Linked DNA regions of Mus musculus. The protein of the gene in region 2 purifies or fractionates together with the protein of the main gene of each other region. This does not show direct contact. Links are inferred from orthologs where the notes say so. Each region holds a gene or a part of one and is shown on either strand. Other genes may lie near its edges.

Region 1 (3,748 bases), on a different chromosome or scaffold from region 2:
ACTTCCAGCCAGGATCTTACCAAGTGTCTCTGCATGCCTGGAGCTCATGATCCTCCCGCCTCAGCTTCCCAAATAGCTAATTACAGGTATGTGTCACTACACCAAGCCACCAACCACTTCTAGAGTCCCTGAAGGCAGACCACAGGGCTGCAGAAAGGAAGACAGAGTCCTCATTTTAAACCCTTTCCTATCAGATAGGCCTGGAACTACACAGACGAGCTAGGTGAGTAAGAAGGGTACCAGCAGCCAGAGCCATCCTCCTACTATACCACAAGACTGTAAACGACTGCTAGGGACTCACCAGAGGAGAAGCACAGGCGCTATCCTCCACTCTCCAAGCCAGGATCCATCTCCCTGGCCCTGTGCCAAAACTTGGCATCTACAGTACCACACATACAGGCAAAAGCCAAAGGGGACCACTCCATCAGCTCCAGGATTTCTGGTGCTTAGTCAATCACCTTTGACTGGGAGCATCCTCACTCACTCACTCAAGACTGCCTCACTAGGCCTTGACCCCAAGTAGAAGATGCTCTCAAGGTATAAGCACCTAAGGGTCTCTGGTTCAGCAACAGAGTAACCAGCACAGAGCTAGTCCCAGGGCATACACCTAGAAGACAGATGCGAGCACAGAGAATCTATCTCAGTACAGTACAAAGCCTAGATAAGCACAGTCAGCAGGATAAGAATAGGCCAGAGGCGGTTAGTCAGGGTGTCAATACAGGCAGCTATAAGGAGTTGATAACACCCAATCAATCATCGAAATGTCTTTCTTTTAGCCATTAGACTTGAGAGTTAAAGACACATCCCTGGAAGCACAAACTCTAGTAGCTAAGTCCTCACCAGGATGGACCACAGGGCCAGCTGCAGATGGTGCAGAGATGCCCACTTAGGTCCAAAGGATGCAGCGTACATAGCCCACCAGCCATTTCAAGGGCTCCCCACTCTCCTGAAGAAATTCACAACACAGGCCTGGAACAAGCCAACAGGAAGGACACTGGCAATAGGTGTTAGCAATCTGGTTGTGTAGGTGTTAGCAATGCATGACCCCATATGTCAGACCTCACCACCCCACTCACCAGGGAGGGAGTTCTAGATCTAGGGTCTTGGAAAGAATAAGTAAAGGCAAGTCTAGCCTGAGTCTGCCTGGTACCAATCAGAGTAGCCAGTCCGCAGTCAGTCCCACACCCTCCCCACTCCATTCACATACACTTCACACGCAGTCTTAGCATCTGCACAAGCTGACACGTGTGCATATACATCTCGTGGGCACCCACATCCACACCCACTCCTTGTTACGGAGGGCAGCACCCCTGACATGGAAACCTCAGGCACCCCCTCCCACCTCCCTCCCTGCGCCATCAAGTCAGCCAGTCAGCCGGGGAACCGGGGAACCGAGGTCGAGAGGCATCATTGCAGAGAGGGTGCTGCAGAAGGGGACCTTATCGGAGGCACTCAGTGGCCTGGACAAGAGGAGGGGAACCCATGCCTGAAACCAAGAACTCTCACCTGGAGCGGCAGCGGAAGCTTGCAGGCCGGCCCGCTTCTTAAAGGGATATTTGGCCTTGGACTTGCCTGGGCCAGGATAGGATGCCATGGCTGGGGCCAAGGCGACAGCGGAGGAACCTCACCGGCTGGGGCCAAGCTCTCCCACATCCAACCCCTTCCTCCGCCCCGCCCCCAGCGGGAGTGACTGATGCAGGAAGCAGCGCCCCGCAGGCGGAAGAGGCTCTGGCCACGATTTCTGATGTTGTCTAGGCAACCTCGGGGAGTGGGGCCTCCATCCTGCCCCTTATCCCTCTCTTCCCACTCCAGTCTTTAGAGTGCCCTGTCTGATGGTGGCTAGGGCCGGGGTCGGGATGCAGAGAAAACAGATGGAGCAGCACCAGCTCTAAGCTCTTTACTACCCTCACCCCACCTCGGGAACCCTCATCCCTTGCCAAGGCTCCAAGGCAAAGAAGCCAAAGTCCAGGCTAGGCTGGTCCAGCCAGCCAGAGAGAAAAATAATAGGCAAGAATACCGCCTGAGCTCCAACCTCAAAACCCATTTCCTCCAGGGAAGGAACAACGGTACTCATGAAAACCCAGAGCCTCTGGGGCAGAGCCCCCCTCTTTTCTTCTCCATCTGACCCCTGCTCTAGGGACAGCCCAGCTCCGGGAGGAGGCAGAACTGAGAATTCGAGCCCAGGAGGGAGGGGCCTGTCTTGGGAAAATTCCACTGACCGGCAGAAGCTGTCTCCTAGGAAGACAGGAAGAGTAGGAGGCTGGGTCTTGTCTGAGGTCGATGGGAAAGACCCCAGCCTACTCTGACCTGTCGCTCTGCCTGTACACTCAAGATCTGCTTCCTTGGACCCTTCTAGGAGCCGTTCACGTCCCCTAGGTCTTGCAGGCATTGCCAAGACCCCCCACCCACTTATCACCCGACCCAGGCACCTCTGCCTTGGAGTCCCTTTATCAACCACACACGCGCCACACACTTACCTGAGGCCATGCTGCCCAAGTCCCGCGTGGACCAGGAAGGCAGCCTACGAAAGTCTGCACAGCGAGGGAGCCGGGCTGAAGAGGGGAGAGGGCCCCCACCGGGGCGAAGTCGCGCCACTGGCCCCTGCACCCGCACTGAGAAGCGGGAAGGAAGGCAAGGTTTTCAAAATGGCCAGCTGGCCGGGGGGCGGACTCCCGCCGACTTCAGCGGCCAGACTGACCTCAGGAGACCCCGGAGTCGCGACCCCAAGCCTGCACTCAAGAGGAAACAGGCCACGTGCTCCCCAGAAAACCGGACCCGGAATTCGCCTAGGGTTCTTTCACCACTTTCTGGGAATCAATTAGGGATCCGGCTCCTGTGGCCGGGCTACGGGGGAGTCACGCAACAGGTGCGACCCCGCCGAAACCTTCCGGGCTGCGCGCCAATCTCGCGTACCCCAGGCCCCGCCAAGTCCGCGGCCACGCCCCGTTCGGCCACGCCTCTTGGCCTCCTGGCCACGCCCCAACCATTTTCCCAGTTCCCTTACGCCACGTGGGCAGCCTCCGGACCAGGGTTGGCCTTGGCTTGGCCCTTTGGTCTTGGGCGATTTCTGTGCGTCAGTTTCCTCATCAGTAAGATGGGATGAGGCAATGGAAACACCCCATCCAAAGAAAGGAGTTACTGAGGACTGAAGGTAAATCCCCTTTGCACAATGTCTGGCACAAAGTCAGGTAGCTATTATTAGGGTCCCAGAATCCATTTCAAGCAGAAGCCCTGCCCTTGAATTCTCCGCATTCCCACCTGAATCTATTTCCTTCTATCAGTCATTGGTAGGCAGGATGTGCCCTTCAAAGCCGGTTCACCATCCCACATTAATTTCTATGTTGACGTTAGACTAGCCAGAATGCCTAGGTTCAAATTCAGACATCTCCACCTACTTTCTGACTGATGGTGAACTTCTCTCTGGGTTTTACTGGTTAACTTTGGCTCTTACACCCGCTCTGATGAAGATAAAGGAGATAATTATAAGTGCTTAGACTTGTGCCTGGCCTGTAAGTTACTTCCCAATCAGTGTTCCTGGAAGATTTCTTTGGCCTGGGATCACTATGGCCAGCTCACTGATTTCTCCTTGTGGGTTATGAGAAATTGGGCTGTTTGAATAGGGCCACAGACACCCTCTCAAACAAGGATTCCTGCCTCCCAGGGGCAGCCTGTACCTACAGGAACCCTGAAAAGGAAAGTCCTCCCCTTTATCAGCAGCAGTTGGTCCCTTCCCTCGCCTCTCCCCTGG
Region 2 (3,648 bases):
GAAAATATGGCTGGTCACCTGGAGACTGAAGGGCCCATGTGGACTAAAGCCAAGTCTGCTCACGACAGAGTTAAGCCAAAATCAGCCAAGCTTCAGCTGTAAGCCATTGTAGAGCCTGCCTCTAACTGGAAAACATGCAGGATAATGAATTAACCAAATGCCCACTGCTTCAAAGTACTTAGTGTTCGGATGGTTTGTTAGGCAACATTGCAGAGACAATAGACAACTAATACACTGAAGAAATCAAAGACATAAATCTATCTTTATATTACATAGCTGCAGTTCTGTTCCTCCTACTTATGAGCAATATACTTTAAAAGCCTGTAAGTTTTTGTTTTTGTGTATAATCTTAACATAGAGCAGGCATTTTATTAAATGGGTATTTGAAAGATTTCTTGAACGGTGGTTTCTATGACCATATTCTAAAATTTTTAACAATAAAACTGAAAGCTATCTCCTCAACTCCATTTATCCATGAAAAACTTTATATGATTGTGGTAGTTTGAGTAGGTACAGCCTTAATAGACTTGTGTGTGTGAATGCTTGGCCATAGGAAGTGGCACTATTAGGAGGTGTGGCCTTGGTGAAGTAGGTGTGGAAGAAGTATGTCACTGTGAGGGTAGGCTTTGAGGTCTCCTATGCTCAAGCTATACCTAGTGTGGCACACAGTCTCCTGCTGTATGTGGATCAAGATGTTGAACTCTGGTTCCTCCAGCACCATGTCTGTGTGCACGTTGCCATGCATGTTGCCATGATGATAATTACTAAACTTCTGAAACTGTAGGCCATCCTCAATTAAATGTTTTCCCTTATGAGTTGCTGTCAGGTGTCTCTTCACAGAGATGAATACCTAACTCAGTGGTAAATATAGTTATTTATTTCCACTTATAAATAATGAAACTGAGACTCAGCAAAGTTAGGTTCCAAAGTTCTCATAGCTTGAACTGGAATTTGTATCCCCAAACCATGCTCATGACTATGACACATGCTGTGCTTGTAACGGAAGAAGGCACAGCGAAATGTGTGCATGCCGGGGTATAGAGAATGGCATCCAGTAGGCAGCCTTACCTGAGCCTGAGGCAGAAGAATAGTCATCATCATCAATAGGATATACTCCTGAAGCTTCCTCAATGGAGCTATTGTCAAGGTACATATCCTTATCGGATGTCAGCTCTGTTCTCTGAGAAAGGAAAGATAAGCAATTCAGGATGGTCAGATTAAGAAAGGCTCTGCTGTCTCTTGTGAGACTATGCCGGGGCCTAGCAAACACAGAAGTGGATGATCACAGTCAGCTATTGGATGGGTCACACGGCCCCCAATGGAGGAGCCAGAGAAATTACCCAAGGAGCTAAAGGGAACTGCAACCCTATAGGTGGAACAACATTATGAACTAACCAGTACCCCGGAGCTCTTGTCTCTAGCTGCATATGTATCAAAAGATGGCCTAGTCGGCCATCACTGCAAAGAGAGGCCCATTGGACTTGCAAACTTTATATGCCCCAGTACAGGGGAACCCCAGGGCCAAAAAGTGGGAGTGGGTGGGTAGGGGATTGGGGGGGTGGGTATGGGGGACTTTTGGGATAGCATTGAAAATGTAAACGAGGAAAATACCTAATTAAAAAAAAAAGAAAAGAAAGGCTCTGCTTTGTCTACTGTTCACATTTTGCATATGCTGTATTGAAGATCTGTCACTTTGCAGCTGTGTTCTGCATTCTCCTGTCCAGCCACCCTTCTCTCTCTCTCTCTCTCACACACACACACACACACACACAAAACCCCAAGGAAGCTCACGTGGCCTAATCTTATATAATAATGACCGCACTGATATCCAAGTCTGGCATAGGCTTAGCTCATTGCACCCCACTTCACTTACCTGAGTATCTGTTGTTCTAAGTTACTAAACTATCTCAGACATTCATTCTATCACAAATGAGATTACTTAGTGATTAATGTTAAGCTACAGAATGCCTAAATTATTTACGATTTTCTTGGAAACATAAAGCAAGGTATTATGACACTAGGCTAAATAATCACTTAGGGACGTATACACACCAGATACTTAACAGGCGTGGCCATGCGTGGCTTTCTCACTACAGATAAGTGCTCTCCAGTTACTAGGGAAAACCAGAGATCTCTGTACAGACCAGACCCACACTGACATCAGGCAAGGTAATCTGTGTGGAACAGGGCCTGTGGAGCTCATATGCCAATGGTGAAAGTCCATGGCAAGCCTACTTCTCAGGCTTGCTGGCTTAGCAAAGTTTAATGACAAACAGATAAACCCACAAGAGTACTTTTTCTTGTATTACTGGCACTTGGTGACAGCAAGTCATAGGCTTGATGTGGAGCAGGATTGAGTCACCAACTATCCCATTTCCAGAGCCTCTCAGCTTTTCAAGAATTGGCCATGATTAAAATTCAGTCTATGTTTGCCCAAGAAGTAACTTGCATGAATTGCAGACAGAGCAGAAGTGGAATTTTTTTTACAAAAGGATTTAGTAAATTGATATTTTACTACAAGTATCTCAGACTAGCAGTTTTTGGAACAAATGACATTCATTTTAGTCCTATTTTTAACGATCAAATTGGAATGTTTGTCCCTCACGGAATTATATATATAAGAAAAAATTCCCCTTACTATGTTGGTTTCCACTAGATTTCTTCTAAAAATAAAACTCGGTTTCAACAGTCAATATGCGTGAACCTCCCTGGGAAAACTAGCAGGCACACTCTGAAAGCAACACTTTGTCCTCTCAAGTTTCAGGGGCTTGCTGGAGAGGCAGGAGGATATTAAATGTTAGCCCACAATCTCCACTGGCCTTGATGCCAAGGAACAAAGAAGGATGGGAATCACTTTGAGATATCACACTGGGCAATTAAGAGGCCACAGCCCTTAGGGATTTGGGTTCCAGCAGGCTGGTTTGCAGGCATGAGTAACACCCCTCTCACAGCAGCCAAGAATGTTCTGGAGCTGTCCAGACATACAGTTAGATTCATCTGTAATCTGAGACAGTTCTACAAAATACCAGTCTCCAAGCCTCTGATCATTCCATATTTTAATTCTCAAAGCTTGCAAACTGAGTAGGGACTTCTGTATACTCTAGCCTCATACATTCTCTGACCCTATTACATTCTCAGCTCTTTTGTGGGAGAAGGCTGTGCACATAGCCCCCTAACATTCCTGGGATATACATTCATACATATATGAATTCAAACTACTGTAGGTTGAAAAACTGTGTGTGTGTAAATATATAATGGTACTAATGAATCTGAGGTAGGACAATCACACGTTTGAGGGCAGCCTGGGCTACTTAATAAGACCCTGTCACAAAATAATGTGAATATAAATTTTAAAAAATTCGGTACTGAGTGTATACCATAATAAACAACAGCTATCAGCACAACCATTATAAGTAGCCAGGAGATGACTTAAAGTACACAGGAAAAATCTGGGTACGTGGAACTGTTATTTTATATAAAAATGACCTGTCGTTTTAATATAATAAAAAAGAAAGCATTTGTCAGTGTTGGTGTACAAGGCATCTTAGACTCAACAGCAGGACCTCCCTGAAAGCCTCCTTACTGCACACTGCTAAATCTTAGTGCCTGGAATAAAGTAGGTGCCCAGAAAACACTCCTTTTGTTGAA

What was found. The genes of interacting proteins can lie anywhere in the genome.
Region 1: the proteins of Sdc2 (region 2) and Ampd2 purify together in Homo sapiens (co-immunoprecipitation; 3 studies listed by BioGRID and IntAct, counting the BioPlex papers as one, with this or other methods). This does not show direct contact. The link is inferred for Mus musculus from reciprocal best matches to the Homo sapiens genes SDC2 and AMPD2.

The regions. Positions count from the first base shown.
Region 1 is NC_000069.6:108,083,741-108,087,488, forward strand, and holds the start of Ampd2 (AMP deaminase 2), read right to left. Parts: upstream 2,488-3,748; coding exon 2,478-2,487; exon of another isoform or gene 2,236-2,477; intron 1,687-2,235; exon of another isoform or gene 1,654-1,686; coding exon of another isoform or gene 1,507-1,653; intron 929-1,506; exon of another isoform or gene 841-928; intron 1-840. Other genes in the region: Gm12500 (uncharacterized protein LOC791415), read left to right, coding at 2,486-3,103. UniProt on the Homo sapiens protein: AMP deaminase plays a critical role in energy metabolism. Catalyzes the deamination of AMP to IMP and plays an important role in the purine nucleotide cycle.
Region 2 is NC_000081.6:33,014,634-33,018,281, reverse strand, and holds part of Sdc2 (syndecan-2 precursor), read right to left. Parts: intron 1,181-3,648; coding exon 1,069-1,180; intron 1-1,068. UniProt on the Homo sapiens protein: Cell surface proteoglycan which regulates dendritic arbor morphogenesis.